Elephas maximus indicus: one gene and its partners. The protein of the gene in region 2 interacts with the protein of the main gene of each other region in a biochemical or structural test. Links are inferred from orthologs where the notes say so. Each region holds a gene or a part of one and is shown on either strand. Other genes may lie near its edges.

The links.
Region 1: the proteins of CLTC (region 2) and CLINT1 form a complex in vitro, tested with the Homo sapiens proteins (2 studies listed by BioGRID). The link is inferred for Elephas maximus indicus from reciprocal best matches to the Homo sapiens genes CLTC and CLINT1.
Region 3: the proteins of CLTC (region 2) and ARRB2 form a complex in vitro, tested with the Homo sapiens proteins (3 studies listed by BioGRID and IntAct, with this or other methods). The link is inferred for Elephas maximus indicus from reciprocal best matches to the Homo sapiens genes CLTC and ARRB2.
Region 4: the proteins of CLTC (region 2) and TOM1L1 form a complex in vitro, tested with the Homo sapiens proteins (2 studies listed by BioGRID and IntAct). The link is inferred for Elephas maximus indicus from reciprocal best matches to the Homo sapiens genes CLTC and TOM1L1.

What each region holds. Positions count from the first base shown.
Region 1 is NC_064820.1:174,388,494-174,395,810, reverse strand, and holds the start of CLINT1 (clathrin interactor 1), read left to right. Parts: upstream 1-4,305; 5' UTR 4,306-4,501; coding exon 4,502-4,542; intron 4,543-7,317. UniProt on the Homo sapiens protein: Binds to membranes enriched in phosphatidylinositol 4,5-bisphosphate (PtdIns(4,5)P2). May have a role in transport via clathrin-coated vesicles from the trans-Golgi network to endosomes. Stimulates clathrin assembly.
Region 2 is NC_064837.1:34,475,610-34,482,712, reverse strand, and holds the start of CLTC (clathrin heavy chain 1), read left to right. Parts: upstream 1-4,084; 5' UTR 4,085-4,389; coding exon 4,390-4,431; intron 4,432-7,103. UniProt on the Homo sapiens protein: Clathrin is the major protein of the polyhedral coat of coated pits and vesicles. Two different adapter protein complexes link the clathrin lattice either to the plasma membrane or to the trans-Golgi network.
Region 3 is NC_064837.1:14,365,944-14,372,934, reverse strand, and holds the start of ARRB2 (beta-arrestin-2), read right to left. Parts: upstream 3,007-6,991; 5' UTR 2,912-3,006; coding exon 2,889-2,911; intron 1-2,888. UniProt on the Homo sapiens protein: Functions in regulating agonist-mediated G-protein coupled receptor (GPCR) signaling by mediating both receptor desensitization and resensitization processes.
Region 4 is NC_064837.1:39,179,166-39,186,989, forward strand, and holds the start of TOM1L1 (TOM1-like protein 1), read right to left. Parts: upstream 3,012-7,824; 5' UTR 2,909-3,011; coding exon 2,851-2,908; intron 203-2,850; coding exon 118-202; intron 1-117. UniProt on the Homo sapiens protein: Probable adapter protein involved in signaling pathways. Interacts with the SH2 and SH3 domains of various signaling proteins when it is phosphorylated. May promote FYN activation, possibly by disrupting intramolecular SH3-dependent interactions.

The DNA of each region.
Region 1 (7,317 bases), on a different chromosome or scaffold from region 2:
ACTGGTGAGGTTGATTGTGAACTGCTGTGAGCCTGGGTGGGGGCCAGGTGGTTATTTTTGTACCAGGCTCAATCTGCAGCTGTACCCTGGACCCACTGGTTTGAAAGTTAACTTACTGAGGTCTTAAATATGCAAAAGAGTTTCTCTTTCTTATCTCTACTGACTATATTCCATTCTTTGAACTTCAGCTAGAAGTTGTTTCAGCAGGAAACACAAACTTCTTATTTGAAAGCCCCAATTCTCTACCTATCTCTGTTTATCTTTACCCGCCCCTCCCTACCCTCCTCTCTAACTCCATTATGTCTACCTAAGCACTACTATGCTGACAAAGCTCTGAGATAGGCTTTGTCCTGATTTCTACTGTTTTACTTTTCTGCCTGGCAATTCTTTCAACTTGCTTCTCTTGGGCCTTAACCCCAAAGTCTTATTGAAACCTCTTTCAGAACTGCCTCTAGTAATTAAGTGGATGTAACACAAAAAAGATAGCTTGACCTGGAGGACCATGGGTTCTGTGTTCTTGATTTGGGATTTTTGTTATCTAGCTCCATGACGATACATGTTGCTGTTGAAGTCAATTTCAACTCACAGCAACTCCATGTGCGTCAGATTGTAACTGTGCTCCACAGGGTTTCAGTGGCTGATTTTTTAGAAGCACATCTCTAGGCCTTTCTTCAGAGGTACCTCTGGGTGAACTTGAACCAGCAACCTTTGAGTTAGGAGCTGAGCACAATTAACACTTTGAACCACCCAGGGACTCCTACCTCCATGACTTAAAAAAAAAAAGCCATCGAGTTGATTCCAACTCATGGCGACCCCATGTGTGTCAGTGTAGAACTGTGCTCCATAGCCTTTTGTTCCAAGGCACCTTTAAACCAAAAAAACCAAACCCATTGCCATGGAGTCAATTCTGACTCCTAGTGACACAATAGGACAGAGTAAAACTGTCCCAAAGGGTTTCCAAGGAGCAGCTGGTGGATTTGAACTGCTGACCATTTTGGTTAGTTGGAAACCCTGGTGGTGCAGTGGTTCAGTGCTAGAGCTACTAACCAAAAGGCTGGCAGTTCAAATCCACCAGGTGCTCCTTGGAAACTCTATAGGGCAGCTCTACTGTGTCCTACAGGGTCACTATGAGGTGGAGTCGATAGCAACGGGTTTGGTTTTGGTTTTAGCCGTAGCTCTTAACCACTGCACCACCAGGGCCCCAAATCAACAACCTCTTGATTAGAAGCCAAGCACTTAACTGTTTGCATACTCAGGGACTCAGCTCCAATACTAGACACAATCAATTTCACTTCTCCTTTGTGAATCAGATCCTTTATCTATTCACTCCACCAAGAACGCTTTTCTTGGAGATCTTTTTATGGCTAGTTTCCTTTTATCATTCAAGCTTCAGTTTAAATATTATGTCCTCAAAGAAGTTACAAGTATTCTGTAATGTTAACCTCCTCTAACATCATTCTTTATTGCATTAGCTTATTCTATTTTTAATTTCTTACTCTCTGCAATTATCACACATGTCCCTGGTTATTATCTATTTTCTCCAACAACATTTAAGCTCTAAGAAAGCCAGGGCCTTCTCTGTCTTATACTGAGTTCCCCACTCCTGGCAGGTTGGTGTGCCATAAATATTTATAGAATGAAAAGAACTATAAAATTTAGGCAGTTGGACCAAACAGGCTTTAAAGTCACTTGCACCATTAACATAAACATTGACAAAGATGGATAAGTGAGAAATGAAGTGATGACACCATTGCAACAAAACATTTAAAGGATTATGTGTGCATAATTACACTTTAAGAACATAAACCTGCCAAGTTCTTGGGTGTGTCATATATACAGTGTTGTCTTTCTATAGCCATTTCCCATGGAGAATGAGCTGAGTTTCTGAGCTTTATAGTAAAGTATCTAACAAGGACATCCAGTGGCTACCTAAGTATAAACCCACTGTATCACGGAATTAGAGTAGAAGAGATTTTAGAAAACCTCTTCAATTTGCAGTTGGAAAGGAAACTGAGGGCCAGAGAGCTAAGTATATTTGGATATTAGTAACCAAATACAGCAATGCATCTATTAAAGGACACATATGCCAATCATACTTCTTTATAGTCATTACTCATAACATAGTAATACTTTACATTTGAAAAGCATGATCCTACACCAGTGGTTCTGAAACTTGAATGTGCATGCGAATCACCAGGAGGACTTGTTTAGCAGAGACTGCTGTGCTCCACCCCCAGAGTTTCTGATTCAGTAGGTCTGGGGCAGGGCCCCAAGAATTTGCATTTCTAACGAGGTCTCAGGGGCTGCTGATGTTGCTGACACTGGGCCCACATTTTGAGAACTGCTATCTTACACTAACTAACCCATTATCTCATTTGATCCTCGCTACACCTGTATCTGTAAGGTGGCATAGTGGTTAAGTCCTAAGGCTGCTAACCAAATGGTCAGCGGTTTGAATCCACCAGGCTCTCCTTGGAACCTCTATGGGGCAGTTCTACTCTATTCTATAGGCTCTCTATGAGTCAGAATCGGCTCAACGGCAATGGGTTTTTTTATACCCATTATCTGTAAGGTGGAAGGGCAAAGACTGTTATCCTTGCTTCACAAATGAGGACATTTAGTCACCAAGAGACATTAAGTATTTTTCCCAAAGTCAAGTGGCTCGTAAGGGGCAGAACTAGGACTGGGATCCAGATTTCCTCTCATCTCCTCAATCTGAGCTTTCCTCCAAGTGAGGGGTGTGACTCATCCTACCCACTCACCTACTTGGGGAGTCATTTGCCTTTCCTTGGAAGCAAGGAACCTCTCAGCTTACTAGAGTTTTCCTCTGCCAAAAGGCCCAAGGGAAGTTGTATCTGAGAGATTTTTCTGCTTGTCCTTTCTCTGAGCTGCTCCTCTGTCTTCTGTGTCCAGGTGGATTTGTTAAGAGGGATTATGATACGGCATCCCAGTGTTTTGTGGGTCATTTTGTCTAAACTGGCTCCTGTTCCACAGAGGACTGCTCTGTACATCTTACACAAGGGATTGCCAGAACCCTGGCTCAGGTGAGATGATCACTAATTTTCAAGGGATATCTTCAAACACCGGTAGTCCTTAGTGTTGGTGTGTTCTGTTGTAATATGAAAAGCCATCTTTCTGTAGGGAAAGTTGCCATGGCTGCCTTCTTGTAACACATGGTAGATGTGAAAAATTCAACTCTGACACCAGCTTATAGCATGTTGGTTGACATGCAGAGGAATCAGAAGCCGAGGCTCTGGCTCAGCCACCTGGGTTTGATCCCCAGCTTTATCTTTTAACAAACTGTATGCCTTTGTGCAAACTTTCAAAGCTTTCCTTTCCTTTTCTTTTTGAAGAGTGAGATTAAACAAACTAATCTGGAAAAAGCAGAGGTCTGTGTATGGCACAAAATAAATTGTGCAGATTAAATGAGATCATCTGTGTAAAGAGCTTAGCGAAGTGCCTGGCACATGGTATAATAAGTCTTCTATGTTATTTCCGCTATCGTTGCAGGTGTTCCAGAATTGTAAGAAGGAGTTATTCCTTGCTTTATTTTCTCTTATGGCATTTAACACTTTCTAACATATACCTTGGAAACCCTGGTGGCTAGCGGTTAAGTGCTACGACTGCTAATCAAAGAGTCAGCAGTTCAAATCCGCCAAGCGCTCCTTGGAAACTCTATGGGGGCAGTTCTACTCTGTCCTATAGGGTCGCTATGAGTCGGAATCGACTCGACGGCACTGGGTTTGGTTTGTTGGTTTGGTAATATATACTTGGAGCCCTGGCGGCAAAGTGGTTAAGAGCTCACTGCTAACCTAAAGGTTAGCAGTTCGAATTCACCAGCCGCTCCTTGAAAACCCTATGAGGCAGTTCTACTCTGTACTGTATGGTTCCTATGAGTATGAATTAACTCGATGGCAACTTTTTTTTTATTAATATATACTCGTTCTTTTTTTTTTTAGCTATCTCCCCGTCTAGAATCTAAGCTCCACGAAGGTAAGGATTTTCTGCTTTGTCCTCTGCTGCATCCCTCGTACCTGCAATAGAGCGGACTCTGAAAAGACGTCCAATAAATACCTGTTGAACGCATACAAAGAAGATAAGTCGTCGGCCAACTCTGCTTTTTCCTTCATTCCAAGGATTTCTGATTGCCTGAGTGGGGAGAAAGGGAGTAGAAGAGAAATCGTCTCAACCTTAGTACCCCAGATCTTCTTTCAACTGCAACGGGCCCGTTCTGTGGGCACAGAAAACTACAAGTTCCGACGTGCTCCGCGCTCAGCGGACGGAAAGTCGGGCGCTTCCGCTCCACGCAGCGCCTCTGCCGCCGAGTCCCGACGTGTCACTGGCGGCGCCGAGGCTGTGGCAAGGGAAGGAGCCGACTGGGGGAGTTTGAGGCGGCGGGCGGCGGCGGCGACCCCGACCTGGACCTGCCCCAGCACGGAAGTGCTCCGGGGTCTCTGGGGAGCAGGAGAGGCAGGCGGCGGCCGAGCTTGCGCGGGGCAAGATGTTGAACATGTGGAAGGTGCGGGAGCTGGTGGACAAAGCGTGAGTATCGGGGGACAGTTGTGGCCGTGGCCCACGCGCGGGCGGGGAGGCAGGGAGAGGGACGCTGGCCCTGCGTGTGGGGCCTCTCGCGTTACGCCCCCCGGTTCGGGCAGCCCCATCATGGCGGCGGCCAGCTCTCTCCCCGGCCCCGGGCCTCGTCCTGATCGGCGAGGCTGGGAAGGGACCCTGGCTCGTTTCAAAATATCCACTTAGCCTGTTTTTCTCCTATCCAGGGCTCCTTGCTCTTGCCACCACCTACCAGTTCCCCTGCCCCCACCCCCAGCGCGGGCAGGGTTGTCTAGAGCTGGGTCACTGCCCCGGCCCGGGGACTTGTTTTGGCCCCAGTCTGTGGGCTTTGCCTCCTGGACAACCTGGGAGGCTTGGGGGTTGGGGAAGCTTTGCTCTGGACCTCTAGCCCTCAGGATGTGGTGGGGAGACTTCAGGCCTGGTTGGAGTATGTCCTTTATCTTGCTGGGTTTCTTTTCATTCCTAATGAACCTGGAATTGCTGGAGTGGGTGGTAGGTGTAACAAGTGGCCTTTGAGGTCCGCCTGAAGTTACTCAGAGGAGAATCATCCTTTGCTATTTTAACAGTAGTGAAAGTGGGTCACCAGATAACTTCTTGTGATTCTTTTCCTCTGTTTCCTTTTCTATTATACTTCACTTTTGGTGGGCCACTTATTCCATTTGGTTTAAAATAAGGAATCATTAAGGAATTTCTCTTAAAGAAGAAAACAACCCAGATTTATATCCTGTTGGTCTTTTTTTTAACTTCTCTGACAGGTATAATGACTAATGCACAGTTTATTTCCTTAAAAGATGTAAATGATAACTTTAGTGTCTTAGTGCAGTGTTACATCTACTCAATTCAAGTGTTAGGGTTAATAACGCTTGAATTGAGAAGATCAGGTATAACAGTGGCAGCAGGAAATAAATTTTAAAGAATTTAGCTACTCCCCTTCCTTATGGGTTTTAGTGACTGATTATGTGATAAGAGTAGAGAGAAAACAGTTCATTTGTGCCACTCACCCAGCCTAAATTCCGGAAGGATAGGTGGCAAACTTGAGCTTTTCATGATAACAGAAAACAAAATGATTCACGGTGGCTTGAATAATGCATCAGACAAAACCTAAAATTTTACCTTATTTCCAAATTTTCTATGCTACCAAGGAGGCCATATAGTGCCTACAGCTTTCGAAACCTACAAAACTGGGTTCATGCTGGGTTCAACCTTGGACAAATTCCTTCGCTTCACAGTGTCCCAGTTTCCTCAGGTACAGGATGAATATGAGAAATACCTACCTTAAAATGTTGTTGTGAGGATTAAGGAGTAAGGGCATAGATTGCATATGTTTAGGTCGTTACATTTTTGATAACCAAAACAGATGTTCTGTCATTAAGAGTTAGGTAAACTTCCTTAAGAGAGAGATTCTGTTTGAAAAGTGATTTGCTTTAATCATTTTTCTTTCTCAACTACTCGTTTGACCGTTAAGGCCTCAGATACTTATTTTGGACTTATTTTGCTTTTTATTTACTCTTTGCTTTTACTTACCAAAGATACGATAAAATAATGGCTTTTTCTAGATCTTGGTTCGTTGGTTGTTTTTTAATATATTCTGTGAAGACTAGGATATCAACTTAAGTAGTTTTTAGAAGTCCAAAAGGAATCTCTACAAACTACCGCTTCCGTTCTAAGGCAGGGGACAGCAGAAGAAAACCAGTAAGAAACACCTTGTTATCTTAAAGGCCTAATTTTATAATATCCAGAAATTTAAAGGGGCTGTACATTTTTTAGGAGACAGAATTCAAGGCAGTATTCCTGCTGTTGTTCTTTCATACTCATTTGCCTTTATTACCTTATGCTATTAATTTTCAAGGGTTTTAGGTTAAATTTGCCATATAAATAGTTACCAGGTCATTTAATGAAAGAGCCAATGTTGAAAAATAGCTTCTATCTTCTTTTTTACTGCTCAATTTAGAATGGAGACTTGAACCACCTTATTCAAGAACATATAAGAATGTTGCCACCAAAGCTTTTGTGGGTGTCTGACATATGATATTAAGATTAGAACATGAGGTTATATTACTGGTGAATACTCAGGATTTAATTTTCATCTTTCACTGGCAGGAAGAGAAGAAATTTTTCCAAAAAAATGTAAGCATCCTACAGAACCATGTACCTGTGGCGTTGTGTCCAGTTAGACTGTGCACCTTAAAATGCCATGATGGAGGGGAAGCAGATCCATAGAATGGTTGCTCTGATTGTCAAGGGTATAAGAAGAGGAGGGAACTTGCAGATGAGGGAACACCGAATTGACTGAGGACTCCTCTGGGGGCTTGGGTTAATAGACTGAGGTTTATGGGATAGAAAAGGCACTGGTTAGGGAACTTGGAGACCTGGGTTCAAATTCTGACACTGCCTCAGACGCAGCTATGTGTGATTTGAGGCAGAATCACATGAGTCTCCATACCTTAGGTTCCTCATCTGTAAAGTAAAGGGATTGGGCTGGAATAAGACTTTTTTCAACTTTGTGGTTATTTGGAGAAGTGAGTGTCCATCAAGAAGAAATAAATTGGAACTAGTATTTCACAGTAGCAGATAAATTTTGGAAAATTGTTATCCTCCAGAGATAATTTAGGCTGAAAAGAGAAATTAAAAAAAAATTGATGTGATAATCAAATGTTATGTTTAAATGCTTTTTGCAATAGGTAAGTGCAACCCATGACTCCGGAAAACTAGGACTTTTAACGTATATCCTACCCAGTGATTTTTACT
Region 2 (7,103 bases):
AAATGTTGGTGTAAATTAGATAATTCCTTGAAACTTTATTATTGAGTTAACCAAAATTTATTTACCAAATCACAGTCCTTTCTGTTCTAAAGAAGAGCGAATTTACTACCATAACGCTGCAGGTGTGCACTGGTAGTGGCAAAACTATCCCTAGGAGTGTGGAAAAATTTCAGTATTGCTGAGGGAACATGTGTGGGTAATGTGTTGCTTTGAACTGGAAATAGTAATAACTCTAGGAGATGAAAAGAGGCAATTCTGCATATTTAGAAAGGAGAAAAACAGTCCATAACAATCATTCCTATACCTTTACCCTCAATCACCATAAATTGGCCCCTTCATTCTATAGATCCTCTCAAGTTTGTAATTTTTGTTTTTGGATATGAAAAGGCATCTGACTCCCTGTTGATCATCAGGGTTATAACTCTTCTGAGTTTTTCTGTCCACAATGCTCTGTGCATCTCTACATTTGAAGAGGACCATCTTTTCTGAGATAACTTTTTAAGGTAATGCTATCAGCCACGCATCCCTCTGCTTGGGATCTGATTTCACCTATAAAAACAAAGGAGAGGCCTATACAGTGTGATAGATTGATTGCAGGTTAGATCCCCACAGGGTTAGTCTTAACTATTCACTAGGAACATGCTCAATCCTAATACAGATCTTATTGCCATCCATAACATTTTATAGAACTTAAAGGTGGAGCCCTGGTCCCTGGTGGTGCAGTGGTTTAGTGTCTGACTGCTAACCAAAAGGGTGGCAGTGCAAATCCACCAGCCATTCCTTGGGAACCCTGTGGGGCAGTTCTGCTGTGTCCTATAGGGTCGCTGAGTCTGAATCAACTGCACTAGAGCGGGTTTGGTTTTTTTGTCTTACAAATTAGGTTTAAGATAAGCCTGAACAGTGAATGATGTCAAGAATATAAGCTCAGGTCTACTTCATGCTAAAGTCCATTAAATTTTTGCTTTTTAAATGTTTCATTCATTTGAGGGAGTCTTGCCTATAATCAGTGCCTTGTACAGGGTCGCTATGAGTTGGAATCGACTCAATGGCACTGGGTTTTGTACAGGGCCAAAATACTGTGGGCACTGTAGATTAATACCTGAGCCCTAAAGGATATTCATTTTCTTACTGGCCTTTGATATGCTGCTGTTTATCATTTTTGAAAAGATAAAAGACCAGAGGGTATAATCCTACTGGGATTTGTATCAGTGGCTCTAGGGGACTGAAATGTTTAAATGGCAAAGCTACTTATCTTACTTGGACAATGCTAAAGTATATACCTCTTGGTTTCATTAAAATCTTAATTATCAACTATTTGGTGCAGTGAGTTGAAGTTTTACTTTAAAATTAATCTGTAATGTCTGAGAAATGCCTTTGTTTTGACTCATGCAATGCAGCTAGCCCAAGCTGTTTTTAAAATGTCAAGTTAAAAGGCATTATTAACCTTAGTGCCAGGGCTGCTTGAAGATAATAGCTACAGAGGAATCCTACAATGAAGGTTTTTTTGAGATGTCATTCCCATTAGGAATTAGTTCCTGGTATAAAATAAGGAGCACTATAAAGGTTTGCTGTATAGGTTTTGAGAAACTAGCACTCCTCATTCATGAGTTGGAATCGACTAGATGGCACTGGGTTTGGTTTTTTTAGCACTCCTCAAAACAGACCAAGCAATGTAGTTTTTGCTAATGGCAGTTGCTGTGACTGACGGTAAGGGCCTACTGTTGATGAACATTCTGGTTAAAAAGTGCTTCAAATTTAAAGAGTCGACCATTTATTTAACATGGTACCTTGCTAGACCAGGGTTATGATTCATTCATAGCAGCAGTCTTATTAAAAGACTATGTGATAGTTGGGGAAAAAAAATCTGGGTCGCAGGGTTTGTTTCCTGGCTTATTTAGGTATTGCTGTAGTAACTGTTAACAGTGCCTCAGCCTTTCGGGTTTCTACAGTAGGGATTCTCAACCTTTCTCCTGTCTCTACACCATTAAAGAACAGCATAAAAAGCATGTCTTATTACCTCACCCAAATTTTGATCTTTAAAAGGCATAGTTTTATTTTTTTTTAAATGTTTACCATCTGGACCTTTTTACTCTTGAAAAAAATTGGATTTGTTTATAGTGCTCAAAATGCACTAGTATACTGCAGTCTATTTTTTCTTCTCAAATTATTTCTGAAAATAATGCGTTCATTAGATTTCTGTGTATGATGACACCGCAGTCACTTTAAGAGAAACTCAGTACACTTTTTTTGTTAGATACTCCATACTAAGTATCCAAGATAAATCAACTGCTTTTGGGATTTCAAATATACTTTAAAATTACAGGGTCTGTACGAAAATGCAAGACACTAATAGAAGAAAAAAATTGGTAGCTGATTCATGATATATAGCTCTTGTATCCAAGAACCTGAGACTGAAATGATTAAGCTAGTGCCTTTGACTATAATAAAACAGTAGCTCCCTTAGATTTCTGAGGATTGATCTACTTCCAAAAAGGATTTAAAGCAGCTATTAGACTCGTAGTAGAAAGATGCTTTCAAATGTTGCAGAATACACATCTTCAAGTATTTGGTTTAACAATACAAAACGAAATTTTGCTCAGCATAGATGTTCTCTCTTGTAACATGGTGGCAAGGCTTTTCTTTACAAAACAGTCTCTAATCACTTTCTTACCTACCACACATTCTTCTCTCATCCTTAGTGAGACAAAAACAGCTAAAATGAGTAAGGAGACTTTTCACACTAAGCAAAACTGCTTAATATAGAAAACAAAATTATAGTTTTATGTTTAAGTGAAAAAGGCACTAAAAAAATTGTGTATTTGAGTTTTTCTCGAAAAAATAACATCTTACAAGAAATGAAAGCCACAGAAGCCTTTATCCTTTATTGATTCAATTATTAAATACTATTAACACCTTATACGTTAGCAATAAGGTGCTGAGGTTATTATTAATGGACAATGAATGCTGTAGATACCTTAATGCTGTTAGAAGATACGATGCCCCGTCTTTGAAGCATTTATATTCCCAAACATTGCTAAACCTAGAGGCACTGTTGAGGTGGTCCCACTGAAATACATGGCTAATAGTTCATCCCTTTCCTCCACGCGTGGACGTTAACCTCACGTAGGAAAAATCTTTCAAGCACCCGTAACTGAATAATCCAAATCTTTGAGACTCAGAATGATTTGACGTAGCTAAAAAGAAAAGCTTCTTGCTACAATTTTGGTCAGACCTTCTAGCTTATTTATGATATTCAAACTCTTTACACTGGACTATTTGATTACTAAACTAGGCGGATAGATGTCCTCCAAAATGTCCGCAGAAACCTTAAGAGAAGCTATCACAAGGCCAGCTGGAGATACCTCATAAATGGCCTTCACTGTCCTTTGAGCCAAATATTTAACACCCGAGGAGAACGCTGGTTCTAGTTAGAATCCGCGCGTCATGTTCTCCAACCGTCAGAAGCGCGTGTGTAGTGATTGCGAGGATTTAAAACCCCATTTCGCTGCCCCAGTCCTGGAGATGTAAGAAACCACCCACTATAAAAAACCAGGCGGGGGAGGAGTGCGGCAGCTAGCTGCCAAGAGAGCGCTCTGCGGGGAAGCAGTTTCCCTGAGTCACGGACAGGGTGGGAGATCGGGCTCATCAGCCCACGCCTCGTCTTCGTAAGGCACCCAGTTTAAATAGGCAAGGGTCACAGGGGAAGGAGCAGCACCCGCCGCTCCTTAAGGTGGCCCAACCGCCACCTCATTCCCAGGAGACTCCGCATTTCCCGAGAACCCGCTCTTCATTCCGGCAGCGATCAGCCGACCCTTCCCTACCAGCGTCACGTGCGCCCGGAAGTATGTGGGTGGGACTTGAACCGCCCACGGAAATGACGTAGTTGCCCCTTGTCGCATGATGTGGCAAAATGCAAAAAAAAGGGGGGGTAGGGAATAGAAGGAGGCTGGGGGAAAGTGATGAGTCCAAAAAGTAGTCCCTTCGGTGCTTATATTAACACCCGTGTAGCATCAGTACGCGAGGCTCTCGGCGCACTGCGCCCCTAATTCCTCCGCCCGGCAGTATCGCGGCACTCTGTGGAGGGGTACATAAAGCGGAGGGGGTGAGGCGACTTGGGCGGAGTTCTGTCGCCGGGATCCCTCCGCAGGGCTCAGCCGTTTCCGGAGTCTGCGCTGCGCCCGGTTCCGCCATTGCGGCTCTCCTGGCCCCTGGAGCCTCCGCCCCCGACCCGAGCTCTTTCGTCTGCCTGCCAGTTTCCTGCGTCCCCGGAGAGTATCCTACTGAGCCCAGCCTCCCCCTCCCCCTTCTCCTCCTCTCCCTTGGAGAGCCCGGGCAGCCGCTGCCCCGCAGTCCCAGTGACAGGAGGAGACCGTACCCCCCGACAGCGCCATGGCCCAGATTCTGCCAATTCGTTTTCAGGAGCATCTCCAGGTGCGGCTGGGCTCGGGCTGGTGAGGGCTGCGGAGAGGGTAGGAAGGAAGGAAGAAGCTGGAGTATAGGCCTAAGCAGAAAGAGCGGTATCGGGGGGTGGGAGTGGTGGGTGTCGGTGCCTGGGATAGATGGAGGGGGGCCTGTCTTGGAAAGCTTAACGGGTTAAAGAAATCTTGTGAGGCTTGGTTGGAAAGGACAAGAGTCAGGGTGCAAAGGGCGTCATTGCTAGGCCTGGATCTCAGGATCTCTCTACCTTGCTTCCTGGATGGGAAGAACTGCATGTACTAACTCCCCCCTCCTTGTTTTTTTCCGTTCATTCATTTGGGTAGGTGGATGGGGAGAGATTTTCTCCTGTTTCTCCTGGAGCATGGATTCTCATTACCCCTTGGGCCATTCGGGGGCTGTCATTTCTCATTGCCTTTCTCCCTCTCCACCTTCGTGTCTGCACTAAGGAGTTGTGGGGCGGGTGGGTTGGGGAGGAGCAACCTTTTTTCTTCCTCCCTCTGCGGCTCTCAACTGGGAAAGGCACCTTCCCCCGGGGTGGGGGGCGGGGGGGAGGCGGCCTTGTATCTTGCCTTCCCTAAGGCAGTAGAAACAAGGTCACAGAAGGAGTTTAGAATGGGGGAACGTATTTCTCAGGGCGGTGTCAATCTCAGGGTGCTTGGGGTCAAGGTCCCTGGGGGAATTAGCCTTTTTCCGTTTCTTGATTTCTCTAGGAGTGGTGTGTCTCTTAGCCCCTCTTTGGTTCTAGGAGGTAGGGAAGGAGCTCTTCAGAGGTTATTTTGGGGTCTGCTGGAGTCTAGCAGATTGTTGTGCGCTTGGCGTGAGTAGCTCCTTCAGGATTTTTTGGAATTAAAACAGCTATGGGGATAGAGCACACCTGCTTTGAGACGTTTGTCCAGGGTTGTTTGGTCTGTAATTGGCTTCCCTTTAGTAGGTTCTAGAATTTTTTCCCTACCGTGTCTTATCCTGGAGGCAACGTAACTGTTGTCTTATCTGGCAGCATGTCCTGGCTGGGCTAGGCAGGTGATCATTGGAGGGCTTGACTGAATTAAGCCTTTTGAGCTTCTGATTTTCCAAGTTCACCAATCCTGCTTCTATCTAGTTTTCATTTTGGCTGAAATAATTCATTCATATTAACTTGTTTTCTTGTCACATACCCTCTTAAAGAGGTCTGCCTAAACTCAGTCTTCTGAAGAGCAAGTTTCATACATAATGTTAGAGGACCCAGTGGTATACACATAACACTAATATTAGTAACCTATTGGATATTTTTCCATTCAAGGCAATTTTATTTACTTTCTTCCATTTCATTAACAAGAATCCCCGGAGGATTCTTGTTAATAAAAAGGTTTAATATTCAAGATGTGAGTAACATAATTTCATAGTTCTTTACAGCTGTTATCATTTTAACTTGCATCAAGAAATTCTTTTTCTTTAAGACTTGAATTGTAATGAATAATAAACCTTTACCTGTAAAACTAGTTAAATAGTGTACTTCCTTCAGTCATCGGTAGTTTGCAGAATAATTCATCTGAAGTAATGGAATATACCTCGGCAATAAAACCACTATATTACAAAGGATTTAAAAACGTTAAGTAACAGAATGGACATGGAGAAATTATTTTTTTATGTTCAATCCAGTTGCTGTGTTTACCTCTGTTAAAGGGGGCTGGTAATTGAATATGGAGGGTTAGAAAAATACTGGTTTTAGGTGTGCGGAAACCGCAGGCTCTTCCTCACAGTAAAGTGCATTTGAAATAAGCCTTTTTGTAGATGAATGTTTGTAAGTCATACACAAGAGAAGCAGGTACAGCTGCTGCTTAGTTTACATGGCTGAGGCATATCAGTTACCGCTGAGTTGAATTCAACTCATGGCAATCCATGATATAACCCACTAGTAAATCTTTTTGGTTGACCGATGGTGGTTTGAGTAATAGCTTATTTTTATTAAAGAGGAGACAAGAATTGTTAAATGATTGCACAAAACAGAATCCAGCCTTATCACCAACTGAAGACATTTAATACAGGCCTGATTTCTAAGTGGTCTGAAGTTTCTCCAGTTACTTGAGTGAAGCCATTTCCTTCTCAAATAATTTGAAAGTTTTGAGTATAAAGTAGCTTTGTGAATATACTTTAAAAAAAAAAGATATCCATTTTTTGGAGTGATAAACTTAGCTATTGTATGCTCGAGCTGATAATGATTAAATTGCAGAGAGAGTCAAATTATCAACCTCTTCCAGGATAATTATCTCCTGACTTCTCATCTTTATCCTCTCCTTTTTTTTTTTTAGTTAATAAGAATTATTTTAATTGGCAACTTAAGTCTTTGACCTCTGACCCTCTGCCAGCTTGCTAAATAGCAGAAAACTTTCTGAAACGCTTTGGATAAAAACTGGGAACAAGAAATGAGGAACTTAAGTTTGGAGCTTTAGCTCGTTATAGCTTCAAAACCTGAACTGTAAATGAATTTATTTTTGTAGGCCTTAACTACATTGACCAGTTGAAGGATCTGTCATTGAGGGTTGGATCTGCGTCAAATGAATATTAATATTTTAAGTTATGCGGTTTTTTTTTTTTTAAGGATGTTTAGGCTGATAAAAAGCCTGTTGCTGTTGAGTCAATTCCAGCTCATAGCGACCCTAGAGGACAGAGTAGAACTGCCCCATAGG
Region 3 (6,991 bases), about 20 Mb from region 2:
ACACCAGGACTTTGTCCCTTCCCAGCCCAGGAAGCAGAGCTCACCTAGGATTCCTGCCCAGGGGCTTTGCCCAGCCCCACCGCCTCCCATTATTCCCAGAAGAAAAGGTAATCAACTCCTTAATATTTCCAGCATCGCAACCACATGAAGCAGGTTGCCATGGCAAATCCCCCTTCTCTTATCCTTGGTCCATCCTCAGTAGCCCCCCTTACCCCACAGTTAATGGTTACTGGTTGCCACAGGAACCACCCAGGTTTTCCCAGAGGACCTGAATGGGCAGGTTGCAGCAGTGTTTGAGTAACACCTAACCCTCTTTCCATCTTTTCTAGTCTCCCCCTGCTCATGGGGAAAGGGGCAGATGTCCCAGCACCAACGACAGCCCCAACTTGGAAGAGCAATGGACCTGGGCTTTGCCCGTAAAATGGCTTCCACCATAAGAACTACCCAAGTCTGACCCTACTCCATTAACCTCCAACTTTCCCCATCTCTGATCTCAGCAGCTTAAAAGCCCATTTATCTTTCATGACCCAGCTCAGATGTCACCTCTTTTGGGAAGCAACCCAGTCAAGACCCTGGGTCACTCTGTTTTTTTGGTTCTTGTCACACTGTTCATGCTTTACTTGCAGTGAGATAGCACACAAAGCGTGTCTCACCTGTCTCTTGTTGGATAAACTGTGAGCACTAGGGGCCTTATTCTTTTAGGCATCCCCAGCACAATGCCAGCCAGATGATGAAGATAATGATGCTCGCTAACACTCATTGGGTGAAGGCGCCATGCCCAGTGCTGCTCGAAGTGTTTCATGCGTTTATCTCATCTAATACTCTCAACAACCCAATGATGAAAATCCTAATATCGCTATTTTACAGGTGAGGAAACTGAGGTACAGAACAGTCAACTGTTTTACCTAAGTCACAGAGAGTAAATGGTGAAACTTAAATACAAACTGAAGCAGTCTGGCCCCAAGTCCATGCTCTTAATCAGTAAACCACTATGCCGTCCTGCCTCTGTAATTGGCATTAATCGTTTGTTGAATTGAATGGGATTTGCCCCCCAGCTGCTGAAACAACACAAGCCTGGACTCTAGCCCTTGCTGGGAGGGTAGGGAAGTTTGGTTTTGGCACTTGTAGGCCTGTTTTTTGCCTGACCACTTTACTCCTTCCAATCTACCGGGCCTCAGCAGCTATCCCTGGAAAGGGCCCTGAGATAGTGGAAGCTGAAATCCTGCCAGAAGGCCCATCCTTCCTCCAACCCCACTGTCTGTTTCTGCTATAACAAGTTCACTTGCCCCTTCTTCCCCAAAACGCCGAGTTGTCCAAGCTGTAAGGGCAGGGAGGCCCCAGATACCTCCAACCAATCCAGGAGAACAAAGCATAGATGTGGTGGCAGCTAAGACGAGCATTCTACCTCTAGTCCCAACTTGGGGGCTGATTGCTATGGCATCATCCAGGCTCTCCCCCCACTTTGACCTCACTTGCTTCTGGTTGTTCTTTTTGTTCAAGTGTTTCCTCCCATGAGGAGCCCTGGCAGAGGGCTGTGACAGCCACAACCAAGTGGCCAACTGGAGTATGGCTCTGGAGCAATCGCCTGTGAGTAGCTGCGGGGCACCTGCCCTTTGGATCCTAACCCAGCCACCTCCTGCCAGGCTAGGGAGGAGCAGTGTGTGTATACTGAGGCTGGCCAAGGAGGTGGGTGCGGGGTGACCAGGGAGGTGTCCAGTAAGGTGGGGGTGCAGTAGAAGCAGATGCCTCTTGCACTTCCTGCCATTCTCTCTACTTCCTGTGGCCCAGAATTTGCTGGGGGTGGGGGTAATTGTGCCAAGTCAGCAGTCCCCCTGTAGTCCATCCGTCCTTGAACCACATAACGGAAACTGGGGGCCTCAAGTCAGCAACTTCCCCTTTCTATGGGTTGTGGATGTCCTTACCCAGGACATCAGTCCTCCCTCCCCCTGATCATATCTCTCCAATTCTTGTGGACTTGATACTCAGAAACCTGAGTTCTCATACTCAATGGGTGGGGAGTGCTGGGGCTGAAAAACATTTTACAGAACAAGCTGACAGGTTAGGTAGCACCTGGCCTGCATTCCTGCTCCCGTCTGGGCTGAGGCATATTCAGCTCCAACCCTTCCTCTTTTGCTCCTGGTCCCCAGGGACTCTGGGATTCACACCTGCCTACTTGGGGGTGTTGGGTCACAACAGGAAGTGGATTTTGCTAGAGATCAAAAAAGAGAACTCGGGGTGTCAGTAAAGAGAAAGAGCCTCGATTGCACAGAAAACATCCGGGGAGTGGATGGCGTGCCCAGGGCAGACACTGCCCACCCCCACCCGAGGGCCAAGGGATAGGGCCCAGAATCAGGGAGGGTCGCCAAGCACTCCGCTCCCCCATGATGAAGCTGTTGCTCCTAGCAACCCAGGGAAGGCAGAAGTTTGGAAGCAGAGCCACCCGGCCCTTGGGACAGGTGGGGGCAGCACAACTGCCTGTGGGGTATTGGACACGAGCCTTTCTATTGGCTCTGCACGAGTCTGGGGCGCACCCCTCCCAACGTCCAGCCTTCCCAAATACTACCCCTCAGGGTTGGCCACCTGCTCCTCCTTCCTCCGCTCCTGCATCGCAGCCTGCACGAGAGAACCCAGGCGTCCGGCCCCCATATGCCTGCGAGAACCCGGACACCACTTCCCTGGTCCCCTTCAGTCCTGACTTCCTACAGGGGCCCGGGCATGCGCCCCCATTATCCTGGAGGACCTAGGCGTGCGGCCCCGGATGGCTGTCCCCTAGGGACCCAGGCGCCCGGCCCCACGGATTCTCTCCCCGGTGTCCTAGTCTGAGGACTATCTCGGCACCCGCCCCGAGCCGCCGCCCATGCCCCGCCGCGTGGCTCCACCTCCCTTACCTGGTCCCGGGTTTCTCCCCCATGGTGCGCACGCCCGCCGCCCGCAGCCCGCCCGGTTCGCGGCTCACTCCCAACCTCCTCGCTCGCTGCCAGGTCCCTGCTCCTCCCCGCGCCACTGCGCAGGCGCGCCCTCCGCTCTTTCTCCTCCTCCACCCTCTCCTTTGGCCCCCCCCCGGGAACCCGGACCAGATGCGTCAGCCTGGATCGCGCGCTCCGCGGCGCTGCCCGCCCTCTCCTCACAGACATGCGCGGTGATTGGGTCTGCCCCCGCCTCATCCTCTCCCCGGAGCTCTCCCCGGCGGGCACGGTCCCTGCCCCGCCCACCCCGCCCTTCCCGCCCATCTCCCCGCCCCTCCACATTCCCTTAGAAACTCATTGGGTTTCCCTAAACCAAGGTTCCCACCTTCCAGGAAATGAGAGCCCTCTGATTGGCTTCCGGCATCCCGACCCTGCAGGGGTCCCCTCCCCTTTGTTTGCTTTCTTAGCGGCGGTGGAGGCGAGGTGGGTGGTGCGGGCGGTGGAAAGCGCGGAAGCACGCTGTGGAAAGGGGCATGGGGGGGTGCACACGTGGGTGCGCGCTTACAATTGCGCGTTACTTACCTTACTGCGCGCTGCTTACCCGCTCTTCCCAGAACGTGCAGCCTTTTTTGCCCCGCCCTCCGGCTTGATGGTGGTGTCTCAGCTCCCCCTGGTGTCTGTCTTTGCTCTTTGCGGGCTTCCTTTTCCTCATTTCTCGGGTTACCCCTCTCTTTCCACCTCCCTATCCCAGCTTCCATTCACCCACCCACCCATCCATCATCCTACTTTGTGCCAGTCCCTGTCACTAGGCGGTGGGGACCCAGGCATGAATTAACATGGCCCTGCCTTCCTAGTGTTGTCGAAGAGACACATCAACAGGTATTATGATCCCGGGAATTCTATGCAAAGTAACAGCCTCTGGCCAGGACGGGGTGAAGGGACTGCAGGCTGTCCAGAGGAGGGGCGTTGGGAGACAATCTTGAGGATGGGCAGAAACTGGGAAAGGATATTCCAAAGAGATAGAAAGTGAGGAAGGCAAAGGGCAAAAAGCATATCCTATTGTAAAGTGTGGGGTTAAGTGGGTTTAGCGGCAGGAGAAATGAAGCTGGAGAGGAAGACTGAACAGGTTAGGAAGAATTTTGTATAGCAGGTGAAGGAAGGAGGTTCCTCAGGACACATGGAACCAGTAGCAGTTTTGAAAACAGGGATGATGAGATTTATTTTTTTAGGGAGATAATAGTGGGCAAAGTGGAGGGTGGAGGGAGTGGGGCAAGAATATGAGGAGGGAGAGGAGTTATCTATAGATAAGCTAGTAAAGGGGAGATGATGAACACTTGAACTAAAGAGCTAGCTGGGAGGAGAAAGAGGAGCCCGACTGAAGAGTCATGCTGGGGTAAAAGTGCCTGAACTTGGAGGAGGATGATGGATTTATGGACATTTCTGGGTTATGGAGGTAAGGTATTTCTCCTTTTTCACATACTATTGTTTTTAAATGCCGTCAAGTCGATTTTGGCACACAGCAATCTCATGTGACAGAGCAGAACTGCCCCATAGGGTTTTCTTGGCTGTAATCTTTACGGAAGCAGATTGCCAGGTCATTCTCTCACCAAGCCGCTGGGTGGGCTCGAACTGCCAACGTTTCGGTTAGTGGCGAGCGCTTAACCATTTGTGACACCAGGGCTCCTTTCCTATACCACCTCCCGCCCAATGAACTAACTTTACACCTCTCCCTCCTCTTTTCCATGTAAGAAACGGTAACACACACAACAGTGCAGCTTCTGATAACGTCTTTGAGGTTCAAAACAGGCTGTGTCCATCGAGTGCTCCCACTCAGTTCCATCACCCCTCAGTTCTAAGCTTGCTCTTCACCCCTTTCAAGCTTTAGATCATGCATATCTTTCAGACTCATGAATCACTTAAAAAAATTTATTGTGTTTTAGGTGAAATTTCACAGTGCAAATTAGTTTTTCATTCAAAAATTTATACACAAATTGTTTTGTGATGTTGTTCACAATCCCTGCGATGTGTCAGCACTCTCCCTCTTTCCCTTTCCACCCTGGGTTTTCCGTGTCCATTTGTCAGGTTTCCTGTCCCTTCCTGCCTTCTCACCTTTGTTTTCGGGTACTTGTTGCCCATTTGGTCTCATATACTTGATTGAACTAAGAGGCACGTTCCTCACGTGTGCTGTTGTTTGTTTTATAGGCCTGTCTAATCTTTCGCTGAAGGGTAAACTTCAGGAGTGGCTTCATTTCTGAGTTAGCAGGGTGTCTGGGGGCCATAGTCTCTGGAATCATGAATCACTTTTATCCAAATTTGACCCTGATCAAAGGGTCATGACTGGAACTTAATGCTATATATCTGAAGTGTTATTGGGACAGAAGGGTAATGTGGTCTGCATGACATAAAAACTACTGTATTAAATATTAAACTAATATAAAGCCCCACCACTCATCTGTCAGTTCGTTGTATTGTGATGGTTTGAGTATTGCTATGATGCTGGAAGCTATGCCACTGGTATTTCAAATACCAGCAGGATCACCCATGGTGGATAGGTTTCGGTGGAGCTTCTACACTAAGACTAGGAAGAAAGGCCTGGCAATCTATTTCTGAAAATGAGCCCAGAAAACCCTATGTATCACAATAGACTATTGTCCAATATAGTGCTAAAAGATGAGCCCTCTAGGTTGGAAGGCACTCAAAATACAGTGGCCATATGAGTCCCTGGGTAGCATAAAAGGTTAAGTGTTCAGCTATTAACCGAAATGTTGGCAGTTTGAATCCACCTAGAGGTGCCTCAGAAGAAAGGCCTGGCAACCTGCTTCTGAAATACAGTGGCCACAACAATGGACTCAAACATACCAATAATCGTAAAGATGGCACAGGGCTAGGCAGTGTTTCCTTCTGTTGTACATGGTGTTGCCATACGTTGGAGCTGACTGGATGGCAACTAACAACAACAACAATAAAGACAACTTTAGAAAGGTATTAAAGAAAGTCAGGAGGTGGAGCCAAAATGGAGGTGCAGTCACTCACCATAACATCCCCCTGCACCAAAGACCTAAAACAAACAAGTGAAACAGGAGCAGATAACAATCCAGGAACCCTGAACATCAAAAAAGGTCTAAGAACTGAACTGAACACCAATTAGAAGGAATAAGAAAAGCAGCAAAAGAGGAGTAACACGGCACGGAGGAGCTCAGCCAGCCATCCTGACTCACCCTGGCTAACTTAGGACAAGACCAGCAGTGACCCTGGGTGAAGAAACAGCAAGGCAACTTCACAACTTTCCCAAGAGGGACAGAGAACCTCTATAGACACACACAGAAAGAAGCAGAGAGAGGTAGAGTGCCAGATCCGGAACTGGGATACTCAGGTGTGGCAGCTCTTGACTTCAGGGGTGAGTGGTGCACACAAGGCAGTGGACCCATGGAGTGTCCACGGGAGCTCTCCCACCCAACTGGTCCCTGGGCGGCCCTCTTCCTCAAACTTGAGAGGCGACAGGTCCCACTCGCTGGCCGCAGCAGACACATGGTGCCCTGGCACCCGTGTATCCTAGCTGGAGGAACGCACTCCCCCTCAACTCATCCTCCTGATCAGAGGTGGCAGAGGGTCCCAAACACCAACTACCTTGCCCGACTGGAGAAGCACAATACAAGCCTACTCTCTTTCCCCCATCCTATCTAACCCCACCCACTATACCCCATTGCCTACCCAATGAGCAAGACTAGGTGCACCCCCGCAGGTGTGCCTGCCTGCCACCTACTCGCCCCACCAAGGGCCCAGTGGAGGGCAGCGGGACTGTGAGAGAGCTCACCCATTTCTCCCTCTTTCTTCCCCCAATCTGCATAAGGCAGCACTTCTGTGCATGCATCCTCTAGGTGCGACTCCATCCCTTAACCTGCCCAGTGGTTTGTGCGTCTCGTCCCGTCCTGTCCTGCTCCCCCAGCCTCTCCCTCCCTCCCCCTACCTGACTCAAGGTGGCATCACCCTGTTCACGTTTGCCAGGTGTGACTCTCTCCCTTAACGCACGCAGCAAGGGGCAGGGGAGCCGTGACTGTGCACGCATCTCCCTGCAGCCCCTTCCT
Region 4 (7,824 bases), about 4.7 Mb from region 2:
TGCCCCTTGGGGATGATGAAAATGCTCAGGAAAATTAAAGAGTCTGCAAGAGAAAACGCACTGTGGTTCTCACGCTTCTTAGCAGAGGCAAGTAAATGAACAACACACTGTACTCACCCATCCTGGACAGTGTTTATTATATCACAGATGTGCATGAACTGGCCCCAGTCTTCAGTTTGAACTCCAGCAAACGTAGCCTTTTCTGCAAAGAAAAAGCTGTTGAGACTGGGCTACAACAGAATAAAACATGCCTGGTCTTCCTGAAATAACCTGCATGGGGTTAACTAGCAAGAACCATTAAACTGATAGTAACAGAGGGCAAGGGACTTTTTTTTTTTTTTTTCTGTCTGAACAATTCCCAGTAAATTCAGGCATCAATCAGAACTCAAGTTCAGAATGCTGATGTTGCAACAGTAATGAGTGACCGATTAATAAATACTGTGGGACCAACAAAGACTGCAGGGCCAGGCTGGCTGGATCTCCATCTGCAAGTTCTGGCAGAGAGAGAAACTATGGCTTATTGAATATTTACCTACAAAGTGAACTGCACAATGGTAAGTATTTTATCTTATGCATCTCATTTAACCCACTTTTAGACATGATGAAACAGAGTTCAGAGAGGTTAAGGAAATTACACAATACAAGGTAGGTAATGCAGCCAGTATGAGGTAGAAAAAGGATTTAAACCTATGTCTTATCCCAGGTTTTTGTTTTTTTATCATTATAGAGGCGGGGGGACGGAGCATGAGAGAGAGAAATATCAGAACTACTGAATTGGCCTGTAACCCTGGTGGCATAGTGGTTAAGAGCTCCAGCTGCCAACCAAAAGGTAAGCAGTTTAAATCCACCAGGCGCTCCTTGGAAACCCCATGGGGCAGTTCTACTCTGTCCTATAGGGTCGCTATGAGTCGGAATAGACTCCACGGCAATGGGTTTTTTTGGTTTTTGGTTTGCAGTAGAGCACGGTCACTCTCGGCACTTATACTAACCAAAGCTGTCCTGTACTTCTCCAGACATCTCCTTTAAGCATATAAAATGCTCTCTGTGAAGGGTGATAGAACACTCAACACGCATCAGTTTAACATCTTTCTTATAAAAGAAGAGAGACACCTCATCGCGAAAACACAAGATGCTGGGGGGTGGCGGTTAAGCAAAGAAAAGAATTAAAAAGAATAATGAAGGGGAAGAAAGAATAAGTGCCTGGTTGGAGGAACCCCAAAGCTCAGCCTGCTTCCCATCTAGGAAAAGAGCTATCTGAATTTGGCACTGAATGGACAAAGCTGACCAACTTCAAGATGTTAGGCACAAGCTCCTGTTTCTTCTGCCAGATGTTCCCCTCCTATTCCTTGTTCTTCCTCCCAACATCCTAGAAAACTCCTAATCACCCTTTGAAAGCCATGGCAGAGTTAATATCTCCCTCTTCTTAAGTTTTATGCATTTTGTGTTTTCTTGTATTGCAAAGATACTGTATTGTAGTTACTACAATATTGTGTACGTTTTCCCTACAAGTTTGTGCGTTCTCTGAGATTTGAGACCATGTCTTACCTTGGCCTCACCAGTGCCTAGTCCAGGTCCAGGCACATAGCTGGGAGTCAAATGTTTACGACATTAAAGAATTTATCAGAATTATGGCCGAGATTTGTGTCCTTGTGTACCACAAATGTTTAAGTGGTTTACAGGGTTCCAACTCCCAGTCGTCTGGGAAGATAGGCGAATGGTTATGGAGTGCAGTCTACTCTGCAAACAAGGGGTCGCCATGAGTTGGAATCAAATGGAGGGTAAATAGGGTTTTTTTTTTTTTTTTTTTTATTGCTGAAGTTACTTTTGCCTATGAAGACACCGTCTGAATATGTTTCTACTCAGGGCTCTTTTTAATATCCAACATCCAACATGGGGATAGCCATTAACAGTTTAGAAAGCTTTACCTCCTCAAAAAAACCCTGTATGATTAGTTACTTTTGCCCTCTTATAAAGATGTGGAAACTAAGATTCAGGTTAGGTAGCATGCTCGGTGCCACAGTGCGGTTAATTGAGCTGGGACTAAAACTCTTCAAATCTGTGCCTCCTTATTGTAACTACCAAGTTCTCAGGATTTCATCACCCGACTAAGTTCCCGACACCATGATAGTCCTACCACACCCGGTTCCTAAGGGAGGAACCAGAGAGAAGCGAGAGAACCGAGCTGGTCAGGTAAAACAGTACAGTCACAGGCTTCTCCTTCCGCATGCTTTATGCGAACTCCAGCCACGGGAGAAATGAGTGAGGCAGATGCCTGGTGGTCCCCTAGTGGCCTCTGTAGCCATCCTGTGGCCCCAGACCTCTCCTCTGCGCTCCCTTCACTCCACAGCTGAGCATTTTTATGCTTTTTGTTTTCTGAGAACACCAACTCAGGTTGCATGAACTTGGGGCCAGATAAACGGTTTGGAGTGACCTGGCTTTCACAGACATGTCTCATCACCTAACCTCCCTGAGCCTCCTTTTCCACATCGGTCAAACGGACAGAATATCGGGCCCGCGAGAAACGCACTTTATGAACAACCTTTCCCTGGCAGAGAAGTTTCTGGTCACTCCTTGTAGAGACCCAAACTCCACTCCCGAATCCTGCGCTTCACCTGTTTTGTTTCTCTCCAAAGAGGCATCACAAGGAGGTAAATTTTGAAGAGCAGGTTCTGGGAAGGGTCGACAAGACAGAATTGTCTAGTAGGGCGCCGGGTGGAATGTGGGTGCCCTGGGAAAGTTGCGGGGCGGGGGGAAGGGGAGAATTCCCTCAAACCTGGACTAACTCGGTCTTTCGCAAGCCGACAGTGGAGTAAAGCGGAAAGGGTTCCCCGACCCCCAAAGCCTCCTTACCTATGAGGTGGCCCAACGGGGTCCCGTAGGGATCCCGGTGACTCTTCCCAAACGCCATGGTAGCGCCAGAGAGCCGGGCCCAGGAAATCCGCCTCCACCGCCCTGCGGCTCCCGACTCCACCCGCTCGGTGGCCCTGGCTCCTCCTCTTCGCCCGAACGCTCGCGGCGCTCGGGCCCCGGCTCGGGCGGAGGCGGCGCGTCCTGCCCGGCAGCTGCGGGGTGCGGGGCGCCGGCGCGGGCAGGGACCCGGGGCGGGGCCGCAGAGGCACTCTGCGCACCTGCCGCGCACCCGGCGGGACTGCGGGGAGGCAGCGCCCCGCGTGGAGCTCGCGTGACTGACGGGAGTGCCCGCTCCCGACCCACGGGCCGGCGGCCCCAGAGCCACAGCTTGGGAATTAGCCACCCGGGCTGTGATCCCGCCGCTTCCTGGGTAACTGTTGTTTCACTCTGTGCCTCGTTTACCCTCCTCTGTACAGAGGGAAATACGGGCTCACACAAATCTCAGGATTATGAGAATTAAGGGGCGGATGTCAACCGCCTAGGTCAGTGCCTGGCACCCACCAAATAAATACTTGACCACCGAGTGAATTTAATAACTCCAAGTATTTACCCCGCCGCCCCAAAGATCCGGGAGGGGAGGTGTGTTCCCTACCTTTTATTAAGCTGAAGGAGAAGGGATTGGCCTTGGGAGCCTCCCAGGTGTCAAGGCCCTTTTTTTCTCTCCTGTTTCCTCCAGGGACCATAGGGCGCTGCCAAGCAAACTATTGGTTTTTAACACCACCTCCTGGGAGCTGTGTTTTCCAGCCTGGTTATGAGAAGAGGAGAGGGGCTTTTCTTTGGCTCAAATAGGGAGTATGTTTGGCTTTAGGGCTGCTTTAGAAAGTAATTGAGTTTGAGAGACCCAACCCTTTCCTGCAGCTGCCCTTTCAGAACCTGAATTTATTTCCTTTTCCTTTGCACCCAGTTGACATCGGTTTGGAATCTCCAGGGAGGCCTGAGCCTGCTAGGAAGTGGGGTGTCTGTCTCCCGGCAGATGCCGATTAGCCTGAAGATGGGCTCATCTATGCTGTAGGTTCTCGCTTCCTGCAGTCATCTCAGGCCCCGCCCCGCTAGTACATTTTTGGACCTGGAAATGGTGGTGAAGGAGAAGAACGGCGATCTAGTGTGACTGATGTTCCTGGTCTTATTTATTTTAATATAGAGGTCAAAGCTCACTGCAGTGCACTCCAACCAAGGAAGGTGGCTCCCTCCCATTACCCCTTTTTTTATCCCCCCATAATTCTATTTTTAATTTTTCTTGACCTAAGTGAGCCACTACCAGGGATTCTGTAATCTAGAATGAAACATTTTCATTGTGATGGTATTTCTCATAATGGGATTAGCCCTGTTCGTAATTAATATTCTCCATCTGCTTACCTGGGGTGAGTTGCGGTTTAAGATGATACTGTTTATCAACTTCCTTAGTCATCATTGCAGTCTCTGCTGACACTGTTCAAAACCTCTTTTGTGACATCACCAACCTAATCTCTATTCCATGTTATAGCCTCTAGTAAAACATTTTGCCTTCTCTGCATCCTATAGTCAAGCAACCTTAAAGAGAAAATCAATTTTAGCTTAGGTTGGTGTTGATATCCAGTGGCCTTCCATCAGGGAATGGGAACAAGGGAAGAACCAAACAGACTCTGAAACTTGCTTTTGAATGTAGAGTAGCTACAGTGAATGGAAGAAATGATGAAGTAAAAGAGCTGAACGGAAGACTTCAAAGGGTGTCTCAAGAAACAGAGTGTTGTAATGAAATGTGCCAAGACCTGGAGTTAGAAAATCAAAAGGGAAGAACACACTCAGCATTTCTCAAGATGAAAGAACTGAAGAAAAAATTCAAGCCTCGAGTTACAATTTTAAAGGATTCTATGGGCAAATGATGAATCGACTTGACGGTACTGGGTTTGGGTGGGATGGGCAAATGGAGCCCTGGTGGCTCAGTGGTTAAGAGCTCAGCTGCTAACCTAAAGATACGCAGTTTGAATCCATCAGCCACTCCTTGGAAACCCTATGGGGCAGTTCTGCTCTGTCCTGTAGGGTCACTATGAGTGGGAATCGACTTGAAGGCAATTTTCTTTTTTTAATTGGCAAAGTATTGAATGATGTGTAAGAAGCATCAAAAGCAGATGGAAGGAATACAGAGTCACTGTACAAAAAGAATTGGTCTACATTCAGCCATTTCAGGAGGTAGTATATGGTCAAGAACGAAGGATATTTAAGAAAGAAGTCCAAGCTGTTCTGAAGGCATTGGCGAAAAATAAGGCTCCAGGAATTGATGAAATACCAATGGAGATGTTTCAACAAACCGATGCAGTACTGGAGATGCCCACTAGTCTATGGCAGGAAATTTGGAAGTCAGCTACCTGGCCATCCGACTGGAAGAGATCCATATTTATGCCCATTCCAGAGAAAGGTGATCCAACAGAATGCGGAAATTATTGAACAATGTCATTAATGTCACACACAAGTAAATTTTTGCTGAAGATCATTCAAAAGCTGTTGCAGCAGTATACCGACAAAGAACTGTCAGAAATTCAAGCTGGATTCAGAAGAGGACATGGAACAAGGGATATCATTGCTGATGTCAGATGGATCTTGACAGAAAGCGGAGAATACCAGAAAAATGTTTACCTGTGTTTTATTGACTATGCAAAGGCATTCAACTGTGTGGATCATAATAAATTATGGATAACATCGTGAAGAATAGGAACTCCAGAACACTGCATTGTCCCATGCTGAACCTGTACATAGACCAAGAGGCAGTCGTTTGAACAGAACAAAGAGATACTGCATGGTTTAAAATCAGGAAAGGTGTGCATCAGAATTGTATCTTTTTGCCATGCTTGTTCAATCTGTATGCTGAACAAATCTGAGAAGATGGACCATATGAAGAAGAAAGTGGCATCAGGATCAGTGGAACACTCATTAACAATCTTCGATATGCAGATGACACAACCTTGCTTGCTGAAAGCAGAGGGGACTTGAAGCACTTACTGATGTAGATCAAAGATTACATCCTTCAGCATGAATTACACCTCAACAACAACAACAAAAAAGAAATCCTCATAGCTGGACCAATTAGCAACATTGTGATAAATGGAGAAAATACTGAAGTTATAAAGGATTTCATTTTACTTAGATCCACAATCAACACCCATGGAAGCAGCAGTCAGGAAATCAAACATCGTGTTGCAATGGGCAAATCTGCTGCAAAAGACCTCTTTAAAGTGTTAAAAAAAAAACAAAGATGTCACTTTAAGGACTAAGGTATGTCTGACCCAAGCCATGGTATTTTCAATTGCTTCATATGCATGTGAAAGCTGAATAGTGAATAAGGAAGACTGAAGAAGAATTTATGCCTTGAAATTATGGTGTTGGCGGAGAATATGGAATATACATACCATGGACTGCCAGAAGAGCAAACAAGTCTGTCTTCAAGAAGTACAGCCAGAGTGCTCCTCTAAGGAGCACCCCTCTAAGCAAAGATGGCCAGACTTCATCTCCTGTACTTTGGACATGTTATTAGGAGAGACCATTCCCTGGAGAAGGACATCATGCTTGGTAAAGTAGAAGATCAGTGAAAAAGAGGAAGACCCTGAAGGAGATAGATTGACTTAATCCCCATAATAACTTCATGAAGTCAATACCATTATTACTCTATTTTAGATTGGAAAAACTGAAGTAATTTTTCATAAGTCATATTGTTAGTGAAGGACTGTCTGATTCCAAAACCTGGACCTTCAACTTCTGTGCTATGTCACCTCTTGTGGGTAAAGCCGTAGATGGTAGATGGTACCCTTAACTGGTTCACTTTGAAAAAAGCAAGATTCTAGGGGACTGTACAAAATATTGCAAGTTCACGTGTCTAGAAGTTGACCTATCATCAGGCTTTCTGCAGCTAAGAGTCACTTTCATTTTATTTGATTTTGTTCTTACCACTAAAATTTTAGATTGTCAGAGCTGGACATTAGCTTAGAAATCACATAATTTCTAACCGCATCATTTTATAGATGAAAAAAGTGACACCCAGAGAAGGCAAGTGGCTGGCTCAAGACCATCCATCTCCTTACTGTTGGGTGCAGTCCCACTGCCAAACTGATAGCTGCTGCCCCATAGTGTTTTCTAGACTATAATCTTTATGGAAGCATTTCACCAGGTCCTTCTCTTGCAGAGCCACTGGGTGTGTTCAAATAATCAACCTTTGGGTTAGCAGCCAAGAGCTTAACTGTTGTGCCACCAGGGCTCCTATCCATCTCCTTAAAGAAAGGAATACAAATATCTTAACCCTGGAACAAATACTCTTCTTACTCTACCATACTCCTTTTCCTTATTTTAATATTTATATATGCCACCTCCCCCCATAGGATTATCTCTGACCTCTTTATTCTTTTCTTTTTTGATGGATCCAGTTCCAAACACCACCCACTCTCTGTCCCTGCACTAAGCAAGGGGCACAGTGGTCAACTTTTGCCTTCATTGCTGACTGTGTAGTAAGGATCAGCATGAATCCAATTCCCAAAGTGTGGAAATGGATCCTGTCTACACCTTCCCACTTCTCCATCCTTGTTGCTAGCCGCTCACAAGGCACACACACTCTTTCAGCCCCAGCCACCCCGACCTAGGTCAGAGCTCACATGTTAGAGGATGCCTTCTTTCCCACTGCCAAACAGGCAGACATCCGCCCCCGCTGGCTCTTGCTGCCCTGTGGGTTTGCTAATTTGCTGGAATGACTCACAGAATTCCCAGAAGAATACACCACACTTACAGATACAGCTTTATTACAATAAAAAATAGATACAAATGAAGAGACACATAGGGTGAGGTCTGGGAGGGGTCAGGGCACAGAACTTCCGTGTCCCAAAAAGGAACGCATCATCCTCTCCCGTGTATGGTTATGAATCAGGAAGCTCCACCTGAGCCTTAGGGCTCAGG